Struthio camelus: one gene and its partner. The protein of the gene in region 1 binds, or shares a complex with, the protein of each later gene. Links are inferred from orthologs where the notes say so. Each region holds a gene or a part of one and is shown in the gene's direction. Other genes may lie near its edges.

Region 1 (7,612 bases):
GTTCACTTTCCTGGTACCGTTATATGAACAAGAAGGTAGCGACTCTTTCTGTTCTGGCAATTTATTGATTCAATACTAGAGTTATATTTAGGGAGTACATTGTTTCTTGAGATAAGAACTTTTACTGACTTAACTGTTTTGACAATTGTGGTATTTAGACACAAAATGACTGTTCTGGGAAGGAATGCTTGATGTGTGCAAATTTTAAACTTAATAGTAGGGAAGAAAGCATGAGAAAGCTATTGAGAATGTCTGAATTCAGACAAGCTTTTAACTTCTAACAACTCTCACAGTGTTGAAAGTACAGCAAAATGAGTGATCTGCTTTTTCAGGGGAGGGAAGATTGCAGCAAATAACTGATGGTAGTTCCCCCCTACCCCTTAAGAATGCAAGGTTTTGGTGAGGCCTGGATTCTTGTATGATATAGAATGTACTTACTAGCCACAGTGCAGAGCTGGGTATTTGATGTTTGTGAAATGGTTTTTTTCCTCTTCAGAGCCTGAGGTCTAGATTCATTAATCCGTAAAAGTAAGGAAAACCTGTTTCAACTTCCAACAGAAAGCAGTATTCTTCTTTATTAGAAGCTCTTTTCTCTCACTGGAGCTGATTAGTCTGTCTTCCTTCCCTTTTCCTTAGTGTAACTGGAAGGCATTGGCTATGTAGCTTCTTTCTGCATATGGCCAAGAGTGTGGTTTGTTTGTTTTTAAAATACCTGTAGTAGCGTTATTTTACTGTTATATGTGTGATTCCTTTTTACATGTGCATGAATTGCAGTTTTAGATTCTGTACTTTGCAATACCAGGACCTTGGTGGCCTTTGTGAGGCACCTACTGCACTACTTAGCTGGATAAATGAGCGTGTTTGAAATACCAGGAAGTGAGACGATGGCTTTGTATCTTGACAGCTGTCCCCATTGAAAGAAGCCATCCTAGCTGATACTTGAAAAGTTACCTTTATACTGTCATAAATAAACTTCAGTAGTTTCAGTAGCCTGAAGTAGGCTCATAGTTTTATAGTAACTAAACATATTTGCTGTTGGATTGAATAACCTGTGTAATTGAGGTATCAAACCCCTTTTAGTATCACAGCAGTGTAGAAATCACGAGGAGCATGGTTTGCATGCCAATAAGTATGTGTGTTTTATTGTTGTTAGTGTTTGGGTTTTTTTTTCCTTCTCTTGTTACTTCTAGTGTGGGAAGTTCACTTCCATCCCTCCAACCCAGATCACTTATTTACATGTTCTGAAGACGGATCTCTTTGGCACTGGGATACGTCCACAAGCGTTTCTGAAAAACCATCTTTCCTTCATCAAGGTAAGGATGTTTGAAGTCAGCTTGCATTGAATTTGTCATCTGGCAACTTAGGTAAAGCACTTGATCTTATATTCTCTATTACTAACTCAATACAGAAAACAAAAATCCAACTTCTTTTCTTAGACACGGGTAGGCACTCTAGGACAACTAAGTACTTACGGGGATAAGCAGTGTTTTTTATCTATCCTCACTGTGCTCTGTCTAGTGTGTGAAGGGGCGCATAAAGAATTTCAGGGATAAATTTAGTTCACTTAAATCACATCCGTGCGGACCAGACATGAAAGAGGCCTAAATGACACATTGCTACCTGAATCTCAGAGGGAGATATATAAAATTCGGTAACACCAATATAGTTTATAAGTTAACGGGATAGTGGAATTATGAATTTAATCTTTAGGCAGTTTTTCCAAGTCATAAGTGGAAGATTGTCAGTGAGTGAAACTGTATGCCTTTGTGTCATGGTAGGATTTCAAAGACATGAAACTGATGTAAAAATGCCTTTTTGCTTTCTAATCTCAGACTGCTTAATTGCTTGCAACTTCAGAGGGGAAACTCTGAAGTGGGGGAAGTGGAGAACTTTCAAATATCTTCTGCCTCTGGCCTCAAAGCTGCCATTCAAAGTTGAGTTCTGTACAGGGGAATAATAGTATAACTGAGAGTCAAATCGCACTCTGCATGTTCTCAGGTATACTGCATAACCCCTTAAGTGCACCATTTTAAACCATTGTAAGCTTTATACTGGCTGATAGTTCTCAAACTGCAAAACTTCAGTTTGGATTTGAATTTTTTTGTGGAAAAAGCTTGAAGTCAAATCCAGGTATATCACTTTCTCCAGATTAGGTAGAGAGAAGGTACAGTGGGGAGTAAATGTTATTACAGCAAAGCTGATGCCTCAAATATAGCAAGGCCACTGCGTAAGTGGACTTTGGTTCATAGGTCCATTGCTTTAGTCTTCAGCTAGAAAAACTTGTAGTTGCTCATACTATTTGCTCAATGAGATGGGTTCTTAGTTGTACTGACTTATTTGCCCTCTTAACTGAGGAGAGAGCTGGTAGCAGGCTTCTGTAAACATTTGAAGTACTTGGCTTTTAGCTATTTTGTTGTTGTTTACCAGGAAGACTAGTACATCATTTAGCTAATCTGAAAACTGATTTAAATTTAAAATGCTTTTCCCGTTATGTCTCTCCTTTAGTTGCTATGTTTCTCCAAATTCTGAGACTAAACTAAATTGGAACTAATTTTTTTTCCCTTTCCCTCACTTTCAGGAGGAAGAAGTACTACATATTTTTCCCACAATACCGTTAACCAATCTGTAGTAAGTGCCTGGCTAAGCAACGATCCTACCAAAGACCGCATGGAGATTACCAACTTAATTCCACATCAGACTTTGTCTGTGAACAGTTTAGATATTTTAGGACCATGTCTAGTGTATGGTACTGATGCAGAGGCTATTTATGTTAACAGACACCTTTTTGCATGAAACTACTTCAGTGTCACTCTGAATCACCTTGAACTACTGGGAAACGCATCAGGTTCATGAGGGTTTCCAACTAAACTGTTATGAGCATGTGGGAGAGAGGCCTACAGCTTAGTTCTGCTATTGCAAAAGGAATGCAAGTTACCTCAGACTCTTAAAGTTGCCCCTTATTATTCATGCTCTACCATGGGTAATTAAACCAGCTTTTGTGTAAGCTTGATCTCACTTCTTCCCCGTTGCCTGCTTCATTTTGGCAAGCAGGAAGCTAGCTGTAAGTGCAAGATGTTTGTTCTTAGCTGATGTCCATAATGCACAAGGTGAAGAAAAACTAAACCCCTGATTATTCATGTATATGTAGAGACATTCCACATGTTAAGGCCAAATCATAAGGTTCTTTGATGTTCTTTTTATGTCGGCTGAGAGAGACTGCTTTTTATTTGAGATTTTTATATATATATATTTTTTGGAAGCATAGCTTTTTACGCTGGTGCATGAGAACTGGAAAGGAAACCTGTAAAAGCTGTAAAATATGAAAGGTCCTATAAGACTTTTAGCATTTTAGTAGCATTATTTTGGATTACTACAACTTCATCACGGATACAACGTGTTAAAACTCCATCTGGATAATGTGCCTATAACTCTCTCATCAGAAAAGTGTTTTTATAGCTCAGTGGCCATAAGTGATGGACATGTTGGCTGTTTTAAAATATGTGATGGAGACACATCTGTGACAAAGACCATCTGTGACAAAGACCATGACTGACGCTATCAGTTTTCCATCTAGTCTTGTTTTGCAATCTTTGAAAAATTAATTTTAGGATGACTGCTGTACCTACCTTTTGTTGCAGAGAACCCTTTCTCTTTTTAATAAAGTATTTTGCACAAGAGTACTGGCCTGACTTACTAGATTAGTTTAGTAGATGTGCTTTTTAGTTTGTTGTTGCAGGAGGGTAAATAACCCTAAGAGCTCTCTGGACTGGGTTTGAGAATGGGATTTGGCACTTTGAGGGAAATCTTAGGATCTGGGCAGCAGCAGATGGAGTTATAAGGCTTTAAAAATCACTCGTCAGCGAAACAGCTTTAGAGTATTTCACTCTCGAGGCGGTGAGAAGAGTGTTCTTCATCTTTTCTCACAATGACTTGCCTGATTTGAATTTCCTGTGTGTCTAGCTGAAGAACGTGGGTTGTACCTTAGTTAAGGGGTATTCTTCAGAAAAGAACTTGAGTTGCTAGGAGGCTTACTAGTTTTAAATTTTAGTTTTTAAATTTCCCTATTTGTTTGAAATGGGACACTTTGCTTGAGTAGGGAAGTGATCATTCTTCTTGGGGAACTTATAGATGGGGGTCTGTAAGAAGTCTTTTATTCAGTCGTGTCGGCGATCTTTCCCCTTGGAAAACCGAAGTTTATTGATCAGCATGCTCGCAGCCGTGGTGAGCATCTATTGCAGTCGATAATACCATGCGAGCTCAGCTGTGGTGATTAACCGGGTTTTGAGCTCAGCTTCACTAGACTCCTAGCGCTTGACGAGGCTCCAGGTTGACGAGGTTTTTGTGCCATTAAAAGGAGGAGAGGAAAAAAAAAAAAAAAGCGATGCCTGAAACCTCTTTCCCCCTTGCGGGGGGCTCCGTGTGGAGCAGCTCCCGTTACCGCTACAAGGTAGTGGCGCCGGGCGGGGGAGGGGGCAAACGGCCGTTTACCATGGCGGGGGGGGGGGGGGGGGGACGCACCGCCCTGCCCGCGTGGGGCGCTCGCGGCTGGGCCGCGCCGGCCGCTGCATTCCATACCGGGTTGGGGGGGGGGGGGGCGCAAAGGAGGCTGGGAGCTGCCTATATCCGGGAAACCTTCCGCGGCGGAGGCACCGACAAAATGGCGGCGCCGAACTGAGGGACCCGTGGCGGCGGTGGCGGGAGGGGGGGGCGCTGGCGGAGCGACCGAGGAGCCGCTGCCGGCGGCGTTGAGGGCCGCGGAGGTCGTTGCCGTCGTCGCAGGGGCGTGGCCGAGCGCCCTACGCACACGCCCGGGCCCGGGGCGCTGCTGCTGCTACCGCCGCCGCTGCCTTTTCGCTGCAGGTAGGTCCGGCGTGCCGCGGCGGCGAGGAGAGGGCGCTGGCGGGGCTCGAGAGCGGCTCGGCCAGGGCGTGGGGGCCATAACGGGCCCTTCCCGGGCCCCTCCTGCCGCGGCGGCGGCGGCGGCGGCGGCGGAGCGGCAGAGCCCGGGCCCCTTGCTCCCTGCCGGCAGCGAGCGGGACGCGGCCGGAGGTAGGCGGCGTTGCCTCCCGCCGCCCGGGCCGGGGGTTGTGCGTCTGAAAGCGGCTTCGCGGTCACCGAGGAGCGGCTCCTCCGCGGAGGCGAGGCGGTGTCCGCGCCGCCCGGGCCCCGCGGCTGCGGCTGGGGTGGTGGTGGTGGCGGCGGCGGGCCGGCGGCCGCCGGTTGGGCCGCGGTGCCGCCGCCTCACGAGGGTTTCGCCGCTGCAGTGGTGGTGCTTGATGGTGTTAGTTCCCCCTTATCTCCCCCGGGGAACGCTGAAGGTTCGGAGGAAAGCCGCACTTCAGCAGACCGGATTCAAACGTTTCTTCCAGATGGACGTATACGGTAGCACGTGCATCTCTGCTTTACCTCGGGTCGTGGTCTCGTACTTGCTGTGCAACAAAAATGCAATTAACACAGTGGATAGACTTGAGATACTCATGACTGTTATATCCTGAAAATTCTCACGCCAGTGTTGTACTTCTACTCTGGGTGGTCCTTGACATGTTGGATCCTTCTGTGCTATTAGAATTACCTTAGTACCTGTCTGTGCCAACGCTACTTACGCTTTGGTTTTAAATGGCTGCCCTGTCGGTAGCAATGAAGATTACTCTTACGTGCTCAAGAAATAAGCAATAATAAGAACTGAGAATGCGTTTGTACATAAGAGCTATATCCTATTAAAAGGAGATAGCAGAGTACGAGAATGGAAAGGAGCAGCAGAAGCAAGCGTACAGCGCTCCTTGTGTTCAGCTAGCCTCCAGTCACTTTCAACTCAGAGTCTTCCTTGAATGTATGTAGTCATAATTATTTACAAATTTTCCGTGCCCGGTTTTCTGCTCATCCTATGTAAATTTTTAGTGCTGAAAACATCGTTTGACAAAAGAGCTTTTCAGCCCAACCACCTGTTACCCAAAGAACTGCTTCCTTTGATTCAAGCCAAGCCCCTACAAAGTTAATCTGATGCCTCCCAAGTTCTTGTTTTAAATCTTTTCTAAAAAGAAAGAGTTGATTGAGATCCTGTGTAAGCTAAGTTAATAGAATAGGGATATGGGAGAGGAAATCAAAATAGATTGTTTTTACTTTCAGCTGAATATTGAGCACTGTGTAGTATTTAAATGTATGTTCAAAATTTTTTAATATTAAATGTTACAAAGCTACTAAAAAGCTGTATATTTTCCTTCCCAGAAATGCTTAAAAGGCATTGACAGAGCAGTTGCGTGTTACTGTCGCCTTCTGAAACCGTTAAGTGTTTTCATTCAAACGCCTATTTTTTATTGTCCAGTCTTTTGTGGTACACTCTAAACAGACTGTTTTTTTTCTCCTTACAGTTTGACCTGTAGAAGAAAATAGTTTATCCTTATGTTTTGAAAAGGAAGAAAAAATGATTTAACTGCTTTAGGGAAATGGAGAATGTCACCAGTGGAAGTATTTGCATTAACAAACAGATGCATCAAGGGCATTTAACCATACAGAACTGCAAGGGAGAATACACGGCCGTTCCCTCAGGTTCAGTTAGTGTTTGCTAGTTAGATATACATGATTGAGAAAGGTTACTTACTGATCTGGTCAAAACTTTATTGTTTTAAAATGTGTGTAAATGTCTGTAAGAGGAGATGACTTCACGGTCCCTGAATTTTGAAGTCCTCCAAAGCAAGGTGAGCTATGGTCAATAATACTTGCCGCTTTGTACTTCATTACAGTGGAGGACTGTTTTAATTGGGTTTCTGAGCAATTAAGACTGTAGTTTCACAGACCCATGAAATTGTTAGCCAATACTGCTGCTGAAAGAAATAAACCCCTAGGAAAAAAAATTACTTTTTATCTGGATAGGTTCCCTGGCTTGATTCACTCTATGTGGCCTTACAAACTACTTAATGCTGGCACGGAATAAGTGGACTGGCTGTTTTACACTGGTATAAACCCCTGCTTCTGCTAAAAACTTATGTGAAAGGATGACTTTATTTTCTAAGGCTGGTCAGTCCATATACTGTATGCTGCAGTTGCCAACCAAATAATAGTTACCACATACTTAAAACATCCCTTGTATTAAAATTCTCAAAGCATTTTAAAAAGAAATATAATTATCTCTTTTTTTTTTTTTTTTTTTTACATAAAGAAGTCAGTGTACAAGGTGATTTTTTTTTTTTTTCCCCCCTAGGCCATATGATTGAATTGGTGGTAGACTCTAGGTCTCCTGATTTACAGATTAAGTATCATCTTAATTTGACCTGGAGTTCTCCTGTGGGTGTTATATTTGTTTATCTCAGCTACCTGCAGGGTGATTGTAAAGTGAATTTGGTGAAACACCAAATAAAATTATGGTTAAAACATATAGGTGAAAAACAAGTGTTTTCTCTTGGATTAAAGTCCTGTGGAAAGTGTTAAGAGAAAGAACTTACATATGGACATTTTTTTTACTACTCTCATTTGATACTTGTCTGACACAGGATGGATACTAACTATTTTATCTAGATTACCTGCCAGTGGTGAGCTAGTGATTAGTCCTAATTTTGACTGAATTTGAACAAGTAATCTAAATCACTAAGCCTCTAAGCTATTCAGCCTTATTGTT
Region 2 (6,832 bases), on another chromosome or scaffold:
AATAAAGCAACCCTCCAGAAAACATTTGCTTCAAGTAGAAGAACGCCTGAGGTTTGAAGAAAGCAATTGTACTCTGGCAATTGAACTCAAACCCATTTTCCCTCCTCTTTCAGCTCAGGCACTTGAAGAAACCTGTTGGGGTTAGGAGACTGGTACTGTGTTCTAGCAGCTTTTGACACCCATCCTTTTGTTAATTATACTCGATTAAGAACAGAACTTTAAGTGTTAAGTACAAAAACGTAAACTTTTGAATGCATTAGAAATCAAGCAACAAGCAATCAGCTTCTCTGAAACACGTATCGCCAACAGAAAATGGCTGCTGTTGTTACTGAATAATTTGTGAAGCAGCCTGTTGCGGACTCTGCAAAACTGCATGCAGTGTCGGTGTGCAGCAAATGAGGTCATATGCTGAGACATTGAACCCAAGGCAAAAAAAAAAAGGTTTCTGCAGACTTTGTTCTCTGTTCTGTTCTTCCTTTTCACATAGGTAAGGGCTTACCTAGGGATCATACCTTCCCTTTGTTTGCTCATGAGAAAACAATCACCTGTTTGTTTATTGCTTTATAGTTCAAACAGACTCTGATACCACTGAATTCTTTTGTTGTGAGTGTGAGTGGTAAAAGGCAGTAAGTTACTGCACACACATTCCTGATTACATTCATAAGTTCATGTGGTTCCATGGAAAAATAAGATCTTTCAGCTTGAGTCAGTACAACCTGCAAATATTTTCCTGGGTATTTATTTCAAAAAAAAAAGAGTTTATCTTTTAAAAAAAAATCACACTATTAGTTTCTTTATAAACACAGACAATAACATCTGCTTATTTAAATATCCCTTCTCTATCATCTCATCTATATATTTTCTGAAAATTTGAAAAAAAAACCCACTCCAAAATGACACATGTCTTCTGGACGTATCTCTGGGCTTTAACAGAAGGCCACAATACAGGAACACGAAAATAGACATTAATTTGTGTTCAGCTTGTTATTCTTTTCCTCCTAGCTTTCTCTTGCAGTATTTTAAAACATTATTGTTGCTGGTTTTTTCCAGTTGTATCAGTTCCCCCTTTTACATTTCATGAGAAGTATCTTGCCTAGTGTTTTACAAAGAGAGAAACACCATTATCCAAGATTAAAAGGAGTGAACAGAAAATGATGAGCTGAAGCGACTAGCCCGGTGTCACCTAGAAATGTGTTGCAGGCTGCTGGCTCAAAACCCAGGAGTCCTGACAGTCCCATCTCTGGTTGCTGCAGTGCACTGTTCCCAGCAGTGAGTCTTCACTTCTAACAGCAATCACAAGCTTTATTTAGAGCTGTGGACGAACATAGTGTTTATTCCGTCATTCTTGTTTTAATATTACTTTACAAGCTGGGCATATGGTACCGCTTATAAAAGCATCACATTTAGCTGCCCCTCCAAATTTGGCTTCAGATAAAATGGGGTAAAATCCAGATATTCTCCAAATGCCTCACTTTCCATTTTGTCATTTTCTTCCCAGTTCAAGCACTTTATCAGCCCACTGCTGCTGCATTTGGTTGGCCTTCAGAGAACCAGTAGTTCAGATTCCTGGTGGGTTGTCAGAAAGCCTGAAAGATGTCGATCTTACCCTTGAAATCAGGCACAAAATGGGATACTATTGCTAATCGTCTTTCTTGCATTTATTTTTCCTCTCTAGCCCTTCAGGGCTCAGTACTTCCCCATGCAGCTCCCTGCATCCCGTCCTCCAGGCTCCGCTTCCACCCTTGTGCTTTGGCAAAGATCCGTGCTCTGTTCTGCTGTTTCAATAGAGGGAGCAGCAAAGTTCTTGCTTCCCCCTCACGCCTCACAGTAGAAAACTGGTGTAAGCTGCAAGGGACACTGAGGTAAGGGTGTTCTGCTCCTCAGCCTCCCTAAACCAGCTGGTCGGTGCTCCCCAGGGTAAATGTTATCTCATGCAAAAGCTCAGATTCATTACCACAAGGTGCAGTTTGCCCGTGTTAGCTCATGGCCTGATTACTTTGCACCATGTGGACTGTTACTCTGACATCTTCTCATGGACAACCTGCTCCAGCCTTCAGCATTACCCAAACCCTGGGACAGAGGACTGGGGAGGACACTGCCTCTTAAGTCCCTTCCTACCCACACCGTAGCTGTGCGTGAGTCAAGCCAGCCCAGGTACTGATTGCAACTGAGTCACAGCGACAGACACAGTGTAGACACTCTTAGCCATCTATGGGCTTATGTCTTACATTTGGGACTTTCTTGTTGTCACGTAATTTCTTTTTATAATCCTGCCTTACAGTGATTAGCTTATATACAGATCCAACAGCAAAGAGCTTTCACTCTTGAAAAATCACCTTGAGTGTAAACTGAAAAGTCATTAGCATCATATATATATATATATATGCGTATATATATATAGGTAATTTCAATGTCATTGTCTATTTACTGATTTTCGGCATAAACAATTGGACAATAAGAGCACTTGACTGTCAGCCCATCTCTGTTCTCCATGGGTACAGTCTCCGCCTAACCTGCAAGCGGCATTACCCTCTCACTGCGCTTGTACAACGGGGACCCAGAGGATGGCTCTTCCTGGGGCGAAAGGGAGACAAACCTGCTAGATATGGATGATATTAACCCCCCCCAACTCCCAAAGCCCTTCTCTTCATCATCAGCAGAGTTTTTAATGTCTATATTGTGCTCGAACGGCTGCTAGGGGGTTTGCTTTTTCAGTGAGTAGTCTTGTGAGCTGAAGGCTTTATGAAGACGTTTAGTCGTCTAGCTGTGCATCTAAATTCCTCTTTCTTACTGAAAGAGGATTGCATTTTTCTGTAGGATTGTCTCATTTGCCTGAAAAGGGCTACACTACACAGTCTGTGGATATTTATGTGCCTTGCCGTACGGAAGTTAGCATCTCCGACAGCGTCCTTTAAAACCAAGGGCTCGGACGGCTCGGGACGCAGCTCCCGAGATTCAGATTACTTTTCTGTGTTTTCAGCGATTCTTATCACGTGTTTCCCTTACTTTTCCTCGCCCTGCTTTCCCGGCTGGATGAGGTAACCGACTGCGGAACTGGGGGCGAGGCGGCTCCTCACGACAGCTCTCCCGCCCTGCCCCGGCAGCGGGCGGTCACTCGGCTCGCGAGGCGCCGCCGAGCGCTGACCGAAGCCTGCCGCCGTGCCCGCCGCAGCGGCCAGGCGGGGAAGCGTGGGCACAAACGTCCCCCAGCGTGCTGGGGCCGCTCTGAAACACGCCTTGCAGTCGCGGCCGGTCCTCCCATCGACTCGCTGCCTCCCCGCCCTGCCGCGGCCGTTAGCCGTCAGCCGTCAGCCGTTAACGGCTAACGCCCCCTGCGGCGCGGCCGCGCGGCGCCCCGCCCCCGCGGGCAGGTGCAGCGCAGCGCCCATCCCCCGCCCGGCGGCGGCGGGGGGGGGGGGAGGGAGGCGCTCGCGCGCCTACAGCAGCGGCGGCCGGCGAATGGCGGGGGCGGCGCTATTACCTGCATTACAGTAGCACCTGGGCGCGGGCGGCGCCTTTAAGGGCCGGCCATCCCCCTTCCCCCCCTCCGCCGGTGCCGGGCCGGGCTGGGCAGGAGGGAGGGAGAGGGGCGGCGCGCGGGGGCCGCCGTGCGCGGAGCGGAGCGCAGCAGGAAATGGAGGCGTGAGGGGGCCCCGCCGCGCCGCGCCCGCCCCGCCCCGCCCGCCCGGGGGGCGGCATGTGAGCCTGCCCGGCGGCGGCGGCGGAGGGCGCCTCCCTGCCGGCGGCTGCGCCGCGCCGCTGCCTCGCTGCCCGCGGCCGGGAGGAGGCGGGAGGCTCGGCCCTGCCCCGGAGCCGGCCCCGCCGCCGCCGCCGACCGGGCGCTGCATGGGGCGGCGCGGCCCGCGCCGGGGACGATGCCGCGGAAGGAGCTGCCGCTGCCGGCGGGCTGGGAGGCGGCGCGGGACTACGACGGGAAGGTGTACTACATCGACCACGGCAGCCGCACCACCAGCTGGGTCGACCCCCGCGACAGGTGGGCGGCGGAGCGGGAGCGGGGCCGGGGCCGGGCGGGCCTGGGGCCCTTCGCGGCTGGGCGCGTGGCGCCTCCGCCGCCCCTGGGGCGCCGGGCAGGTGCCGGCCGGGCGGGGGGGGCGGGCGCCGCCTGCCCTCGGCCCCTCTCCGGCGGCAGCTCTGCCGCCTCGGGGAGCGGGGGGCGTCTGGGCTGCTCCCCTCCACCGCCTGTTTCCTGCCCGGGCCGGGGGGGGGGGGGTCTCCTCTTGCGGCTCCTTTTCCTAATCTGCCCTTTTCCTTTAGTGCTCGCCTAAGAAGACCTGAAACAAACAAAAAAAATCTCCTGCGGAAAGCGTCAGTTATTTTCAAGGCACGCTTTGCCTTAGCGAGTTCTGGTTTGCGCGTGAGGCGGTTGTGGCCGGCGCGCAGGTCGCTCGGGCGTGCAGGTCGCTCAAATGCTAGATTACTGGTGAAGTAACGAGTTTCGAAATTTCACGTTTCGTGCGCTGATAGCTGAGGTTTCAGGATACTCTGCCTCATGAGAAAGCTCCATCTCAATGCGATTAAAATTCCAAAAAAAACCCGAATATACAGTTTGTTGTAAAGTTCAGAGTCATCCTCTGTTTGACAGAGAGTCTTTTCCTTCTTGTTTAGCAATTCCTGGATTTGTTTTGTCCCTCCACCCCGAATGGTTGTTTCGAGGGGTTTCCCTGGTTAGTGGGATGCCAGTGCTATTGATTACTTCCATGCTTAACAAAAAAACACTGAAACAGAGCTGGAAGTAAGAGATTGTCCGTTTTTTCAAGATTTCAAGGAGTGTTCCGCACCCCAGGAATAGTCTGTGTGTACTGTACACAACTGTAATCTGTTGGCCTACAGGAGATTCAGAACTCAACATTTTAAGGTTTCTCTCTCAGTAATGTGGCTGAGAAGAAGCTAAAAAGCTTGACATAAACACAGTGTTAAAAAAATCTCAAGTCAACACAAGCTTTCATTAGGAAGGTTCTCTTAACATCTTTATCTTGTTAAATAGAGTGAAGACAGTTGAAAAATCTATTAGGGCTAATAAAGGCTTATAAAATTCTGATTTGTCCTTGATTAGTAATCCAAAGATTGTATGGACAACTGAACGGATGTCTTATGCATGTGCACTGACTATCACAAAAACATTGAATGCTTGCCACTGTTAAAGGAGAACGTTCAGACATATACTGATAAGTCATGTCACATGACATATTCATGGTACACTTACAAATACACCCGAATGCACATGGCCCTGAGGAGCTTTGGGTCTGAGTCATCTTCCACTGATGCTACCAAGAAAACCATCTGAGTTAACGCCTTGCTCCCTTCTCTAAAAATCCTCAAGGTTTTGAGGTGTATCAGCCCATCCCTAGAACCACTAAAACATCAAGGAGTTTTCCCAGGACCTGGGAGACCCTTGTGCTTGTACAGGTTCAAATCCTGCTCTGCCGTACTTGCAGAAAAAATATATTCTCTTTAAAGTAATTAGCCCTGTCCATGAAAACCAGCAGACAGAGGAATTTCTGAGCAGCTCAAGTCATGCTCAGGGCAGTAGTGATTCAGATTTATGCACTGATCACTGGAGTTTTACACTATATTTTCAGTTTAATTTTTTTCTAAGCTTAGCCTTTTGCAAGTTGCTTCTAAGACTGTTGCAACTGAGAGGTTGATTTGTGCAATTGCTGCGGTGCTCGGCATGCTTTACTTATATATGCCGTCTCCTACCCAGTTAAATGCAATTGATGTTAGAGATGTGGTTGTAAAAAGGCAAATTTCAGGAGAGGGGGAGGAGGAGGTTTTGTTTTAAAGCTCCTTAACCCAGTTGCTGCAGAATGGCAAGATTTCAGTGTGACTGTACCTGTATGCTGTCTGCTCAGTGTAGACAGTGAGCAGCAACCGGTAACTGAAGGTGGGAGGCAGGTTTTAAAGCTTCCCTAAGTCTTTCATTCTAGCTTAATTTAGTGGAAATAAACATGATCAGGGATACAGTCTAGCTTCAGGGCATAGGTTAGCCCATTGTTTTTGTGGCAACAGTTGGTGTTAGGTTTGTAGCTGGATAGGCATTGTGTTAATGGAGGCTTGCTTAATGAAAATACTGCAGAAGTGGGCCTGGATACGGACATGTAAGGAGTATCAGCTAGCAGGTGACTGCGTTGGAGAAATCATGGGTAGCGTGGGTGGTACCGTAACAGAGACCTTTCTTCACATACGAATTTCAAAGGTCTAGAGGCTTCTCTAGCTACTAAATTGCTGAGAAGTGGGAAACCTCTTCACCCCCTGTGAAGGGCCAGGCAGAAATTCCAAATGCGTTTTTGTTGCGTATCTGCATGCATGTTATCTGTGCTTGCTTGTCCTGAGGTCCCTCACATTGAGGTCCCTCACACCTTGTGCCTGTAACTAGCATATCTCACTAGCTTACCTGCCGTTTGATTTAACGCTCCAGTCTTTGGTGCCACACAGTGCTACTCTGTCCAGGACTCTGTATTGGACAGTGTATCCAGTGTACCTGGGAACCTCCTCCCTATCTTCCCGGTGCTTCTCCAGACCTGGCTTCTCAGGGGCCGGGATCTCCCTCTCTCCCTCTCACCCCTTCTGTCATTTTCTTCATCCTGCTCCATGCAGGCTCTAGGACCTCTTCTCTGCTTTGGGGTGGGGGCTAGGTAGTCTACCGGATGGTAGGCTGATGGATGTACCAGATGAGCTGGAAAGGGCTGTTCTGGGTGTGTGTAGGGCTGTGCTGCTGCTACTGAAGGCAGCAGAGTGAGTTGGAAATGTGGCTGTGGACAGGCGTTTGGGGTGAGGCTGGGGGAGGAAGGTGGTTTTGATAGGTAAGGAG

The links. The genes of interacting proteins can lie anywhere in the genome.
Region 2: the proteins of LATS1 (region 1) and WWC1 are in contact, whole or in part, in a crystal structure (PDB 6J68), measured with the Mus musculus proteins. The link is inferred for Struthio camelus from reciprocal best matches to the Homo sapiens genes LATS1 and WWC1. Residues at the interface, in NP_034820.1 of Mus musculus: Ala546, Glu547, Ala548, Pro549, Ser550, Tyr551, Gly553, Pro554, Pro555, Pro556, Pro557, Tyr558, Leu562, Leu563; in NP_740749.1 of Mus musculus: Asp17, Tyr23, Ile25, Asp26, His27, Arg30, Thr31, Thr32, Ser33, Trp34, Asp64, Val67, Tyr70, Ile72, Asp73, His74, Lys77, Thr78, Thr79, Gln80, Ile81.

Annotation. Positions count from the first base shown.
Region 1 is NC_090944.1:82,015,146-82,022,757, forward strand, and holds the start of LATS1 (serine/threonine-protein kinase LATS1), read left to right. Parts: upstream 1-4,596; 5' UTR 4,597-4,860; intron 4,861-6,467; exon of another isoform or gene 6,468-6,695; intron 6,696-7,612. Other genes in the region: nucleoporin Nup43, read left to right, coding at 1,191-1,313, 2,579-2,793. UniProt on the Homo sapiens protein: Negative regulator of YAP1 in the Hippo signaling pathway that plays a pivotal role in organ size control and tumor suppression by restricting proliferation and promoting apoptosis.
Region 2 is NC_090954.1:17,999,878-18,006,709, forward strand, and holds the start of WWC1 (protein KIBRA), read left to right. Parts: upstream 1-3,814; 5' UTR 3,815-3,875; coding exon 3,876-3,994; intron 3,995-6,832. UniProt on the Homo sapiens protein: Regulator of the Hippo signaling pathway, also known as the Salvador-Warts-Hippo (SWH) pathway.